2 linked regions of the Anolis sagrei genome follow. The protein of the gene in region 2 interacts with the protein of the main gene of each other region in a pairwise test. Links are inferred from orthologs where the notes say so. Each region holds a gene or a part of one and is shown on either strand. Other genes may lie near its edges.

Region 1 (7,168 bases), on a different chromosome or scaffold from region 2:
ATTTCATTGTGCTTTTCCTGATTGGCAGAATAAAGGGGGTTGGACTGGATGGCCTCAGGTTCCAATTACTATTCTTATTATTACTACTACAAAGGGTGGTTGCCATCTGTTGGGAGGGGGGGTGCTCCTATTACTATTCTTATTATTACTGCAAAGGCTGGATGGCCTCTGGGGTTGCTCCTATTATTATTACAAAGGCTGGGTGGCCATTTGTTGGGTGTACTTTGATTGTGCTTTTCCTGCATGGCAGAATAAAGGGAGTTGGACTGGATGGCCTCTGGGGTTGTTCCTATTACAAGTGTAAGCTGTCCTGAGTACCCCTCTGGGAGTTGAGTAAGATGGGGTAGAAAATGCTGGAAATAAACAAATATTATTATTACTACTGCAAAGGCTGGATGGCCCCTTGGATTGCTCCTACTACTATTATAATGCAAAGGCTGGATGGTCCCTGGGGTTGCTCCTATTACTATTATTATTGCAAAAGCTAGGTGGCCATTTGTTGGGGGTGCTTTGATTGGATGGCAGAATAAAGGGGGTTGGACTGAATGGTCCCTGGGATTGCTCCTGTTATTATTATTACAAAAACTCGGTGGCCATCTGTTGGGGGTGCTTTGATTGTGCTTTTCCTGCATGGCAGTCCCCCTTGTTTGACTGAATGATTGCCAAACTGGAAGCCACTCCGAGTCCCCTTCGGGGTGGAGATAGAACGGGGTAAAATATATATAAATAAAATTATAATGTTCGTTTGTGGGATTAACAGAACTCAAAAACCACAGGAGGGAATTGACACCAAATTTGGGCAGCATACACCTAACAATCCAATGTATGTCCTTCACTCAAAAAATTGAGTTTGTCATTTGGGAGTTGTAGTTGCTAGGATTTATAGTAGTACACCTACAATCAAAGAGCATTCTGAATTCTACCAATGATGGAATTGAACCAAACGTGGCACACAGGACTCCCACAACCAAGAGAAAATACTGGAAGGGTTTGGTGGGCATTGACCTTGAGTTTGGGAGTTGTAGTTCACCTATATTCATAGAGCACTGTGGACTCAAACAATGATGGATCTGGACCAAACTTGGCATGAATATTCCATAAGCCCAAATATAAACACAGATGGAGTTTTGGGAAAATAGACCTTGACATTTGGGAGTTGTAGTTGCTGGGATTTATAGTTTACCTACAATCAAAGAGCATTCTGAACCCTACCAACGACAGAATTGGGACAGACTTCCCACACAGAACCCCCATGACCAACAGAAAATACTTAAGGCCATCCAGTCCAACTCCCTTCACCAGGCAAGAAAACATTATCAAAGCCCTCCGGACAAAGAGCCATCAAGCCACAGATAGAGATACATAGTATTATTCACACACACACGGTGAATCATATATATTCACAGGGGTTTAACCCGGTGGCGCAGCGGGTTAAACCCCTGTGACGGCAGGACTGAAGACCGACAGGTCGCAGGTTCAAATCTTAATGAGGTTCAAATCTTAATGAGACATGCCGCATTATCACGGGGTGTCTGCGCCCTACACCACTGGAGAAATTACACTGCTTAGCTGGTATTGCACCACCTGATATCCGCCGGGAAGTAGCAGCCAGCATGTCAACGACTTAAATGTAGACATAATTTTCTAAGATCTACAGAGACACTCGCTGGAACACCTCAGCAAGCGGGAGTCCAAAAGTGGCAGGCTCAAATCCAGAACCTCAACCAATGGCTGATACCAAATGAGAGACTCCTCCCTGGCACACAGAGGACTGGGCGACTTGGAAGGCGCTGAACAGACTGCGCTCTGGCACCACGAGATGCAGAGCCAACCTTCAGAAATAGGGCTACAAAGTGGAATCCTCGACATGCGAATGTGGAGAGGAGCAAACCACAGACCACCTGCTGCAATGCAACCTGAGCCCTGCCACATGCACAATGGAGGACCTTCTTGCAGCAACACCAGAAGCACTCCAAGTGGCCAGATACTGGTCAAAGGACATTTAATCAACTACCAAACTCAAAAATTTTGTATTATGTCTGTTTGTTTGCTTTGTTCTGTTAGAAATATGATATAATTGACTGGCTGCCCTAACACGAAATAAATAAAAAATTCCGAGGAGAGGCGGATGAGCTCCCTCTATCAACTCCAGCTCCTCATGCGGGGACATGAGAAAACCTCCCACAAGGAAGATAAAAACATCAATTCATCCGGGCGTCCCCTGGGCAACGTCCTTGCAGACGGCCAATTCTCTCACACCAGAAGCGACTTGTAGTTTCTCAAGTCGCTCCTGACACGACAAACAAACAAACCAGATATAGCATCATAGATTTGAAAGGGACCTCCAAAAGAAGGACAATTATATGTTGCATGTTCCAGAGTAGTCAAACCAGACACTCTCCACATCAACACTGACAAAGAAAGAACAAGAAATACTGTTTACCCACAAGCACAAAGAAATTACATATATTAGAAACCAACACTTTCTGGTTACTTTATTTTCCAGATCACCAGACAGCAAAGCATGTAAAGAAATACTCACGGCCTTCTCGAGGTGTCCGCGGGCCTGCTCTCCGTTGCGGGTGTGGTGGTAAAGGACGGAGCCGAGCTGGAGGTGGGTGCGGGCCTCGACGCGGGCCGGGGGCTTGCGTGGCAGCACGGCTTGGAGGCAGTGGACGCAGAGGCGCACTTTGGGCGGGCTGGAGGTGCGGAAGTGCTCGGCCAGGCCCAGCAGCGCCACGTACCACGACTCCGACGAGGACGGCGAGGCCCCGCCGCCAGAGGAAGAAGCCGAGGACGAAGACCCGCCCGAGCCAGGGTTGTTGCCCCCGGCTGGAGCGGCCTCGGAGCCGGCCTGCTGAGGTGGCGCCGTCGCGCTACTCCCTCCCGGAGGCTGAGGCGCCGAGGCCGACGAAGACGGAGCCACCGCCACTGCGGACGACGTCGACGTTGGCGTCGAGGCCGAAGACACCGCCGTCTCCGCTCCCGAAGCTCCCACCGCCGCCATCTTGGATTTACCTCAGCCGAAGACCCGAATGACGGCCACTGCGCCTGCGAAAAAACCCGTCCTTGCCGAGTTGGCCAATCGGAGGAGAGGACGGCTGCGCTGGGACGCACGCGCAATTCGGGCTCTGCTGCGACGCATGCGTAGTCTGGAGGTCCCTTGTTTATCTCAGCGAACACAAAAGGAGCTTGGCTTGGGGGGAGGAGACAAGAAATGCTGTCTTCTCGCGAGAGTTGGCAGATAATTCTATTAAGAGCTTGGGCTGGTGCGCGTGCGGCATTGTGGGAGAAAAGGAACTTCCTGAGAGACATGGAAGGAGGCAGAGAAGCGCCAGGTGAGTCTTTTTCCCCTACACGCCCCTCCCACCTCCATCCAGGTGGGTCCCAATGGCCCACCTGGCCTCCCTAGAAGCTCCTTTGCCTTTCTCCCGTGAAATCAACAGGCTTCCTCTCTCAGGTAGGGCCTTGTTGTCTAGGCCATTCCCTCATTGTGTTATCGAAGGCTTTCATGGCCAGAATAACTGGATTTCCCCCAAACAGGAAGCAGCGAGGCTTTGAAGCTGCAAGGCTATTCAGTGGAAGGCTATTCATATGCCTGCCACTTGCCACTTGCCTTATTTATATATTTATTTATTTACTTTGCTTATATACCGCTGTTCTCAGCCCAGGGGCGACTCACAGCGGCGTACAACATAGAAAGAACAAGGTTCAGAATACAAGACACAATATAAAATAATCCACAGTCCATCATTAACAAAAAAACATCATCATCAGAAAACATCATCATTACTACAAAAGCCATTCCGCGTCGTCTCATCATCAAAACCACAATCCAGTATAATTATCCGTTGTTCCATTCCTATAGTCAATTACCAATCATTGCACTTCTTGTTCGAACGCCTTCTTAAACAGCCAGGTCTTTAATTTCCTGCGGAATATTATCAGGGAAGGAGCCAGTCTGATGTCCACGGGAAGGGTGTTCCACAGCCGAGGAGCCACTACTGAGAAGGCCCTATCTCTCGTCTCCGCCAGCCGTGCCTGTGAAGCAGGCGGGATTGAGAGCAGAGCCTCCCCGGAAGATCTCAAAGTCCTCGTGGGCTCATAGGTCGAGAGGTGGTCAGTTAGGTATCTTGGGCCGGAACCGTTTAGGGCTTTATAGGCCAATGCCAGCACCTTGAATTGAGCCCGGTAGCAGATCGGCAGCCAGTGGAGCTGGTACAACAGGAGGGTTGTATGCTCCCTGCGTCCCGCTCCTGTTAGTATCATGGCTGCCGCACATTGGACCAGTTGGAGCTTCCGGGCCGTCTTCAAAGGCAACCCCACGTAGAGAGCGTTGCAGTAGTCTAAACGGGATGTAACCAGAGCGTGGACTACCGTGGCCAAGTCAGACTTCCCAAGGTACGGGCGCAGCTGGCGCACGAGCCTAAGCTGTGCAAATGCTCCCCTGGTCACCGCCGAAACCTGGGGCTTCAGGCTCAGCGATGAATCCAGGATCACACCCAAGCTGCGAACCTACGCCTTCAAGGGGAGTGCGACCCCATCCAGTACATTTCCAACAGACCTCTTAAGATGCCAGCCACAGCTGTGTGCGAAATGTCAGGAGAGAATGCTACTAGAACATGGCCAGACAGCCTGAAAAACTCACAGCAACCCAGTGATTCTGGCTATGAAAGCCTTCAGCAACATATGCCCATGTTGATAGGAGGGAAACCTCAATCTCTTTGTGTGGTTTTTGTGAGCCTTGAGCCTCCCATGTTTTTCCTTTCTCCTGTTTGACCAGGCAAAGTCAGCCGGTGGTTTGGCGTCACCATGCCCAAGTCGATGAAGACCAACGTGAACATCCTCCATCAGGAGAAGCTGATTGCCCAGAAGAAGCGGGAGATCGAGGCCAAGATGGAGCGGCAGGCCAAGCAGAGTCACTTGGCCCGGCAGCAGTCCTCACAGGCCAGCGAGTCCGTAGGAGTTGGGGCAAGGGGGGCGCTTGCTTGCTTGTTTACTTTTTGATAGGTTTATCTATGATCTTTCCAACATTGCATGCAAGACTTACAAGCATAGGCCAAAGCAGTGGTCTCCAAACCCAACTTCAAGTTTCCAAAATTGTAGGATCATATAATTCTAGAGTTGGAAAAGACTCCAGGGCTATGCAGCCCAAACCCCTTCTGCTAGGCAGGAAGACACCATCCAAGCCCTCCTGACAGATGACCATGAAACCTCGTAGACACCATTAGGTTCACGGAGGCAATAGAATCCTGAGTTGGAAGAGACCACAAAGGGGCATACAGTCCAACCTCATTCTGCTAGGCAGGAAGACACAATCAGATTTATTTTATTTTTATTTACTTATGTCAGAAGAAAATTGAGAATACAGTTATAATATTTTTTAAAATCCACAAACAAAGTTAGAAAGCTTGGCATTATGCTAAATTTTCTTTGGCCAGAAGCTGGCCCCTTGGGGTGCCTCTGGTGTCGCTGTGAGAAGGTCCTCCATTGTACATGTGGCCGAGGTTAGTCTGTATTGCCACAGGTGGTCTGTGGTTTGCTCTTCTCCACACTCGCATGTCACGGACTCCACTTTGAGTCCCCATTTCTTAGCGTTGGCTCTGCATCTCATGGTGCCAGAGTGCAGCCTGTTCAGTGCCTTCCAAGTCACCCAGTCTTCTATGTGCCTAGGAGGGAGTTTCTCATTGGGTATCAGTAAGTGATTGAAGTTCCATTTTTTTTCCTGCCACTTTTGCACTTTCGCTTGTTGAGGTGTTCCTGCAAGTATCTCCATAGATCTTAGAAAGCTGTTTCTTGATTTAAATCATTGGCATGCTGGCTGCTATCCAAACAGAGAATGGGCCAGAGATGTCAATGTCTTGATCCTTTCATTACTAGCTGCTACTTCCCTGAGGATATCAGGTGGTGCAATACTGGGTAAACATAATTTCCCCAGTGGTGTAAAGCATAGACATTCTGTGATGTCACGTCCACTCTTATAACATGTTGAAATGTATTCCACACTGGGCATGTGTACTCAGCAGCAGAGTAGCAAAGTGCAAGGGCAGATGTCTTCACTGTGTGTGGTTGTGATCCCCAGGTTCTGCCAGTCAGCTTTTGTATGTTATTGTTTCTAGTACTCAGTTTTTGCTTGATAGTCAAGCAGTGCTTCTTGTAGGTCAGAGCATGGTCCAGAGCAACTCCCAGGTATTTGGGTGTGCTTCAATGCTCCAATGGGATTCCTTCCCTGGTCATCCTCAGAGCTCGAGATGCTTATCTGTTCTTAAGATGAAAACTACACGTCTGCATTTTAGATGGATTAGGAATCAGCTGGTTTCCCCTGTGATAGCCAGTAAGAGCACCTAAAGCTTCGGAGAACTTCTGTTCAACTATTTCAAAGCTCACTGCTTGGGCGATGATGGCACAATCATCAGCATAGATTAAACACAATTAGATTAAAATATTATTGTAATGCCCCCAATCTCTTAATCAGTTTTTTTTATTCTGTCCTAATCTTTTAATGGTTTACTTAATCTTCAAAACCTGCAAGCATTTTCTTTTTTCTTTATAAGTGATAAAAACTTTTCATTATTTGAAAAAAAAATTGTTGGCTTCTCGTTTATTGGACAAGGCAATTTGTCAATTTCTGCCAGTTCTAGAACTCTTAAAATCCAATCTAGTCTGGAGAATCTTATTGGTTCTCCATTCTTAACAGTTTATAAGAAATTGCCTCTGAGATGTATTCACTATGTTAATTGTATGGTCCAAAACCATGCAATAGGAAAAGGAAACTCTGGAAAGCAGAGCAGTAATTATAGAACGCCATAAAGTGTAATTAAATGCAGTGTGTAATTAAAAACAAGAAGATAAACAGCAAATGTTGCTTATTTGGAAGCCATTATAGAGATTTGAGTAGGAAGACCAGGGTTCAAACCCCTATTAGGCAAGTCACACTTTTTCAGCTTCATAGAAAGGCCATGACAAACCACTCCTGACAACTTGTAAAGGCACAGAAATGACTTCAAGGCACAAAAAGCCGAAAAAGGAGTGCCCAGCATCTGAATGGCCCACATTTAAGTGGAAACATGACCCAAGAAGGGTTCTGGGCCCATTTGTTGCTTTTATTGGAACCACTAATGCCATCCCTCTTTGGCTTTCCAGCGATGAGAGTGGCGAGGGTGAAAGC
Region 2 (8,066 bases):
GAAAGATCATTTAGGGCACAAGAAGAAAATATCCATCCCTTTTTAGCTAAGGAATATAACCACATATATTTCACCAACAAGTGATTTAACCCTTCAAGGTATCTGAAATTTGAGGTTTGCTTCAGCTACTTGATTATTTCTAAAGAAATAACCTCAGTACTAAACATCATATGTAAATTAAAAAATTAAGACATGTCATTGTGTTTCCAAAATAATGGACCAAATCACAGGTATGTGTTTTAGAAAAGTTTCAGAAGAAAATCTTCATATTAAAAATGATGAATATTTCATACAAAATGTATCAAACAAACAACTTTAAAATGCATGAAGACTGTAAACATTTAAAAAGGGGTAGGCAGGAGAATGCATACCTAAATGAATAAAACTGGAACTAAAGTAAAGAACATGCAGGAGTTATATGACTAGGGCATAAGCTTCAATGCAATTTATGGGAAATCACATATTTAACTGAAGTGACAAAATGAGAAGTTCTAGTGCCACTTTCTTACAATAGTTTTCTGTACTGTCCTTTCTGTAAATTAGACCTATGCTTGACATTCCTAGTACAGCTTTTTTTTTAAAGGCAAAATTCAGTCACCATACATAGAAATAATTAGAAACAACTCATGTTTCACTCTGCAATTTATAAAGTTCAGAAAATAAAAGCTGCTTTTTCAAACTGAAAATGGTTGCTCTCCCGAGCATACAGGCCTGAGGCCCTGTTGCAAACAGTGTCTAACAGGCCCAGGCAGCACAAAGACAGGAATGGCAGATTAGTGGGAGGGAGGGAGGCCGGGTTTGGGGCTCAGCAGGATCTTCTGGCTTTTTAAAATTCAAACCGCTGCCTGGCCAATACAAATCACAGACACAGTACTGACTACTACATGAATTTACATCATTAAAAACATGCTTTCTACGTGACAGCTATATTCACACCACCCATTTAAAAACACAGCACTACTTCCCAAACAACACCAAAAGTTATTTTACTAAACGGAAGCTAGTTTTTTTTTAAGTTAGAACACCAACAACATCAATGTGAAAGTTGAGCACTGGGAAAGATTACTACAATCTAATCACAACCAGAGACCTCTTTTTGACAAAGTTACATAAAAAGTAGTTATAAAACAGAATTAATCAAAATTGCACAAATTAACTTGTTATAGAGACTGTGAATGTCTACTCTGAAGTGAATTCCATAGGGTTCAAATGAAGTTTATCCCTAAGGAACAGATCCAGGACTGTATCCAAATAGTTTCTCACATTTTTTTTAATTTACAACTGTTTACCAGAAAACTATTATATTTCCTTCCAGTTAACATTATAATACTGATGATGAACTTTTAGACATCTGTGTTGTACGTGATTACCCAATAACACTCACACACAATATGGACACAAACAGTATCTATTTGAAATTGGTATAGGAAATTAATTCCGCAAGATTTTAAACTATTTTAACCCACTCCTCAACCATGTTTCTTCATATGGATGGACCACCAATTTTAATAGGACTAAAGGACTATGTTTAGGATTGCTGCCTTATTTAGTACAATTTGCTATGAGATTCCAGAGTAACCTTTGGCCTTTAAAAAAAAAATCAACTAACTTCAAGGATACTATCTCTAGATGGCAATTCATTGTTACAAACATTTTTTTTTTCGTGGGGCAGTAATTATTTACTATGTAACTTTTCGTGCACACAGAAAATAAAACCTTTAAAGGTTGCATACAGCAGGCCATGTATGATGTGTTGTCTAAGGCTTTCATGTATGCCTTCTTCCAGCAACACCAGAAGCACTCCAAGTGGCCAGATACTGGTCAAAGGACATTTAATCAACTACCAAACTCACACATTTTGTATTTTCTGTTTGTTTGCTTTGTTCTGTTAGAAATGTAATATAATTGACTGGCGAGAAATAAAAATAATATGTATGTCTTGTGAGTTGGACAGGTGTTTCGTGTTCTGTCAATCTTTCAGCACGGTCTGGATTTATTTATCAAGGCAATCCGCAGGGATTTACACAACTTGCAATACCAATCTTTTTTTTTTTCTCCTAGCCACCTACAGTCAAAATATCGTGCAAGGAGAATTAAAAGGCACAGTCGCTGCCAACTAGACACACACCCCGAGTGCACGCGTCTCCTTCTCTTTTCTTTGCAAATGTTTTTATCTGGGACTTTTTTTCCCCCTTCCCTTCCCTCCCGCCGCCCGTGAAGTTGTAAATATGGCCCAGCCGCGGTTTGGACTGTATTGTTTCCTCCTCCCACTCTTGGCTCTGGGGCGCTTGAGCGAGGCCTGTCACAGGGAAGAAGCCACTCCGCCGCTCTAAAATAATCCCCGAGCTGGAGTGGAAGCGCTGTCCGCTGGGCCTGCGCCCTCCTCCGGGCTTGGCCTTCTCCAGCAACTCCGAGGCAACCATTCACATCCAGGAGGCGGGGAGAAACGTGAAGCACCCCCCCCCCCATCAACCCTGGCTGCCACTCATTATTATCCCCCCCACACCGGACGAAAAGGCTAATCCCTTGCTCTGCTTCCCGACTGGGCCAGAGCAGAGAGAGAGAGAGACACAGAGAGAGAGGAGGCCCAAGGCGCTGCCTGCCTGGAGAGAAGGAACCAAAACCGAGGGAGAGAGGGAAGGAGGGGGAGCTTTGCCTTTTTACCTGAGCGAAACGCCGCTTGAATCCAACCGAAAACCAAACCAGAAGGGGGGAAGAGGAGGGGGGAAAGGCCACCCCCTCCCTCCTCAAAGGATCCGCCGCTGGGCCGCGGAGCGAGAGGAGGAGGAGGAGGAGGAAGGGAGATAATATAACAACAATAATCCGGGCCGGGAGGGGGGCTGGCTCCTCTTCCGCCTCCTCCTGAGTGCAGCGAACATGTAGAGAGCCGCCGAGGGGAGAGCGGCCGAAGGAAGCCTGCCTGCTTTCCTCTTCCTCCTCTTTCTCTTCTTCTTCTTGCTGCTTCTCTTCTTCTTCCTCCTCCTCCTTGCCGTCGTCCTCCTCCTCCCACCGAGGCTAATTCACCACCAACATATCCACACGACGCCAAGGCCGGGGCCTAGCCGGATCCGATCAACACCTCCTCACGCACCGACCGGGGAAGGGGGAGGAAGGAAGGGAGGAAGGAGAGGAGAGGGAGGGGGATCTCCTCGGCCGCGGCGGCGCTCGCTCCTTCTCTTCCGCCGCCGTCACCGCCGCCTAGGCCCCTGCCTCCGCCTCTCTGGCTCCCCTGCCTTGCTTCCTTGCTCCCCTGCTTCCTGGGCGTGCGTGGACGCGGCTGCTGGGGCGGGGCAGGGAGGGGGCGCCTGGGCCACGGGGAGTCGGTCCCGGGAAGGGAGGAGGAAGGAGAGAGGGCGGAAAAACAGGAGCCTGCGTAAATGCGAGCGTCGCTCTCGCTCCCTCTCAGAACAAAATGCCGACCGGAAGTGCAGCTTGGAGGAATGACTCCCTCCACCGGCGCCAAACACCAACAGCCTCCCCCTTTCGGCTCGGCTGCTGCCTGCCTTCCTTCTTCCCCTTTGCCTCCTTCAGCTTGCTTCGTTCTATCTTCTACGAAGTTGTCTCTCTTTCTCTTTCTTTGGTTGTAGCTCGGCTTGTTGTTCTCTCTCCAAGTGACTCTTATCTTTCATGGCCGGGATCACTGGGTTGTTGTTGTTGTTGTTGTTGTTGTTGTTGTTGTGTGTTTTCCGGGCTTATATGGCCATGTTCCAGAAGGTTGTGGTAAGTTCTTTTTTTAAAAAACTGTATGGCTATGTTCTCGCTTTCTCTCAGAACAGCCCGAAAAACTTACAACCCAGTGAATGTGGAATGTGTCCAGAGGAGGGCGACTAAAATGATCAAGGGTCTGGAGAACAAGCCCTATGAGGAGCGGCTTAAGGAGTTGGGCATGTTTACCCTGAAGAAGAGAAGGCTGAGAGGAGATATGATGTTGTTGTTGTTGTTCATTCGTTCAGTCGTCTTCGACTCTTCGTGACCTCATGGACCAGCCCACGCCAGAGCTCCCTGTCGGCTCTCACCACCCCCAGCTCCTTCAAGGTCAGTCCAGTCACTTCAAGGATGCCATCCATCCATCTTGCCCTTGGTCGGCCCCTCTTCCTTTTGCCTTCCACTTTCCCCAGCATAATTGTCTTCTCTAGGCTTTGCTGTCTCCTCATGATGTGGCCAAAGTACTTCAACTTTGTCTCTAGTATCCTTCCCTCCAGTGAGAAGCCGGGCTTTATTTCCTGGAGGATGGACTGGTTGGATCTTCTCGCAGTCAAAGGCACTATATAAGATATGATAGCCATGTATAAATATGTGAGAGGAAGCCACAGGGAGGAGGGAGCAAGCTTGTTTTCTGCTTCCTTGGAAACTAGGACGCGGAACAATGGTTTCAAACTACAAGAGAGGAGATTCCATCTGAACACGAGGAAGAACTTCCTGACTGTGAGAGCCGTTCAGCAGTGGAACTCTCTGCCCTGGAGTGTGGTGGAGGCTCCTTCTTTGGAAACTTTTAAACAGAGGCTGGATGGCCATCTGCCGGGGGTGCTTTGAATGCAATTTTCCTGATTCTGTCTATAAATATGTGAGAGGAATTCATAGGGATGAGGGAGCAAGCTTGTTTTCTGCTGCCCTGGAGACTAGGACACAGAACAATGGCTTCAAACTACAAGAAAGGAGATTCCATCTGAACATTAGAAAGAACTTCCTGACTGTGAGAGCCGTTCAGCAGTGGAACTCACTGCCCCGGACTGTGGTGGAGGCTCCTTCTTTAGAAGCTTTTAAACAGAGGCTGGGTGGTCATCTGTCAGGGGTGATTTGAATGCAATATTCCTGCTTCTTGGCAGGGGGTTGGACTGGATGGCCCATGAGGTCTCTTCCAACTCTTTGATTCTATGATTCTATGACTCCGGCCATGAAAGCTTTTGGCAATACATGTTCCAGAAGCATTCTCTCCTAACGTTTCTCCTGCATCTATGGCAGGCATCCTCAGAGATTGTAAGGTATTTTCTTTTTTTTCTTTCTTCCTCCCATTTGTTGTTGTTTCATATCTTGCTTTCTGATGTCTGCAGGAAAACCTTATTATCTAGGAATATAAGGCCGGACGTTGTGAGGAAGAAGAGTCCTTCCAAGCTGTTCAATTCGAAGCTGTCATGCTACAAGAAAGGAGATTCCACCTGAACATTAGGAAGAACTTCCTGACTGTGAGAGACGGTCAGCAGTGGAACTCTCTGCCCCAGAATGGAGCGAGAGGCTGAGAGAGGAGGGAACAGAGGCTGGATGGTCATCTGTCGGGGGTGCTTTGAATGCAATTTTCCTGATTCTATGTATAAATATGTGAGAGGAACCCGCAGGAGGAGGGAGCAAGCTTGTTTTCTGCTGCCCTGGAGACTAGGACGCGGAACAATGGCTTCAAACTACAAGAAAGGAGATTCCATCTGAACATGAGGAAGAACTTCCTGACTGTGAGAGCCGTTCAGCAGTGGAACTCTCTGCCTCGGAATGTGGTGGAGGTTCCTTCTTTGGAGGCTTTTAAACAGAGGCTGGATGGCCATCTGCCAGGGGTGCTTTGAATGCAATTTTCCAGCTTCTTGGCAGGGGATTGGACTGGATGGCCCACGAGATCTCTTCCATCTCCTGATTCTATGATTCTATACCCCCCTGTTCTGCATTGGTCAGACTGCACCTGGAATCACACTGTGTCCAGGTCTGGGCACCGCAATTGAAGGGAGATGTTGACAAGTTGGAATGTGTCCAAAGGAGGACTAAAATGATCAAGGGTCTGGAGAAAAAGTCATATGAAGAGCGTCTTAAAGATCTGGCCATGTTTAGCCTGCAGAAGAGAAGGCTGAGAGGAGACATGATGAGGGCCATGTATAACTATGTAAGGGGAAGTCATAGGAAGGAGGAAGCAAGTTTGTTTTCTGCTGCCCTGGAGACTACAGGAAAGGAGATTCCACCTGAACATTAGGAAGAACTTCCTGACTGTCAGAGTTATTCAGCAGTGGAACACTCTGCCCTGGAATGTTCCTTTGGAGGCTTTTAAACAGAGGCTGGATGGCCATCTGTTGGGATGCTTTGAATGTGATTTTCCAGCTTCTTGGCAGGGGGTTGGACCGAATGGCCCATGAGATCTCTTCCAACTCTATGATTCTATAAATTGTCAACAATTGAAAACCACCCCAACATAATTTTGTTGTTGTTTCTTTAAATTGTTCCTGCATGGCAAAGGGATGGACTGGGTGGCCCTCTTCCAAGTCTATTATTAGTTGGCTATCAGTAGTTACTTTACATATATAATTGTAAAAATTCCAAATAAAAGAGGGGAAGGACTCCAAGGGAAGGTGTTCTTTTAAGGAATGTATCTCTCATTCTTTCACTCTTAGAGTAACCACTGGCCAACGGTTCCTGTTTGCATCTGTTTGGGGTTTTTTTTTACTTGTTAGAAACCACTTTTATGGGTGTTATCTTAAAGACGGATATTGCTGGATTTAAAGGTGATGAGAAATGGGTCTTCACTGTTCTCCTTGAATCCATGCTGCTTCTTGTCTTTCTAGGTGGCTCTTGTCTCTTCTCTTTGTTTCTCTGTTTCCTATCTCAATTTCCGATGTCTGCAGGAAAACCTGGAGTTCACAGATAAGGCCTAGGAGCCCCCGGTGGCGCAATGGGTTAAACCCATGTGCCGGCAGGACTGCTGACTGAAAGGTTGGCGGTTCGAATCTGGGAAATGTGGTGAGCTCATGTCTGTCAGCTCCAGCATCTCATGCAGGGACATAAAAGAAGCCTCCCACCAGATGGTAAAACATCTGGGCATCCCCTGGGCAACATCCTTGCAAACAGCCAATTCTCTCACACCAGAAGCGACTTGGAGTTTCTCAAGTCACTCCTGACATGGAAAGAAAATCAGATAAGGCCTGATGTTGTGAAGAGAAATAAACATGATTTGACCAAAAGAAGACCAAAATAATGTTGTTAATGATTTGTTCCTGCATGCCAGGGGCATGGATTAGATGGTCCTTGTGTTGTCTTCCAAGTCTTTGATTCTAAGGAATTGTTTTTAAAACATAATTGTCAAGATTGCAGGTAAAATGAAAAATTCCAAGGAAGATATACAGATCTCCTTAAGAAGAAGAAATGTGTGTCTTATTCTTTCATTCCCAGAAGGACTATTAAACAACTGCTCTTGTTTGCATGGAGGGTTTTTTTTTTTTACATTAATTGCCACTTTCATACTTGTAAGCGTGTTTTTATAAGGCAGGGATATCACCTAATTTAAAGTTGATGAAAAATCTAGGTTTCTGGGCCATACACATTTTTTTCCAAAATGATGTTTTGTGAAAAAGGTAACATGAAAGAGGGAAATCCATAAAGGTTTCTTTGCTGGGAAATTGTAGTTTTTGACAGATTTCTTGCAGATAGCTTAATTATGTGTAGTGGAGCAGGCTTTCGAGAAGGGGACAATGACAACCTGGAAAGCTTTTTCTCTTCAAATTGTGCACAGTGGAGCCGAACAGAAAGTTATAATTCAGGTAAGTTTGCCAAAATGTCTGCTTTGGATTCTATTAATCAAGCATTCCAAAAATATTTTGAATGCACTAATCGTTAAATATAGTCGTTTCAGTTAGTTTTCCACAAAGTTAAGAACTCAACCTAAGAGCAGTAAGAACTACAAGACTGAAGTCAGGCACTATGGCTTTGAATTGAAGAGATGCATTCACAGAGATTGTTCTGTGTAAATTAGCTGTGTACAAGTATAAGTTAATTTAGTCATGTGCCATCAGGTGCATTTGTAGGTATGCCAGACCCTACACATGAGAGATTGCCCAGAGAATTCGCTAGTAACATCATTGCACAGGTCTTTACAGATGATGCATAATATAGCTATATTCCATCTAAAAATAATTTCTGCGGCTTTTTGGAAACTCAGAAGCATAAGTACATGTATTTTGTGTTTTACATGTACTCTACACTTTGATTTAAGATTTCAGTGTATTTAGAGTTAATAATGATGCTTACCTGAGAATATGTCCTACTAGACACAGTAAAATGTGTGCTCAGATTAAAAATTGTTGGATTGGGTGAGACAT

Evidence for each region.
Region 1: the proteins of NIPBL (region 2) and MAU2 interact in binary tests that used the Homo sapiens proteins (3 or more experiments, as listed by UniProt). The link is inferred for Anolis sagrei from reciprocal best matches to the Homo sapiens genes NIPBL and MAU2.

What each region holds. Positions count from the first base shown.
Region 1 is NC_090034.1:50,624,267-50,631,434, reverse strand, and holds the start of MAU2 (MAU2 chromatid cohesion factor homolog), read right to left. Parts: upstream 3,049-7,168; 5' UTR 3,008-3,048; coding exon 2,543-3,007; intron 1-2,542. Other genes in the region: SUGP1 (SURP and G-patch domain-containing protein 1), read left to right, coding at 3,218-3,338, 4,784-4,955, 7,144-7,168. UniProt on the Homo sapiens protein: Plays an important role in the loading of the cohesin complex on to DNA. Forms a heterodimeric complex (also known as cohesin loading complex) with NIPBL/SCC2 which mediates the loading of the cohesin complex onto chromatin.
Region 2 is NC_090022.1:279,217,847-279,225,912, forward strand, and holds the start of NIPBL (nipped-B-like protein), read right to left. Parts: upstream 3,140-8,066; 5' UTR 2,665-3,139; intron 1-2,664. UniProt on the Homo sapiens protein: Plays an important role in the loading of the cohesin complex on to DNA. Forms a heterodimeric complex (also known as cohesin loading complex) with MAU2/SCC4 which mediates the loading of the cohesin complex onto chromatin.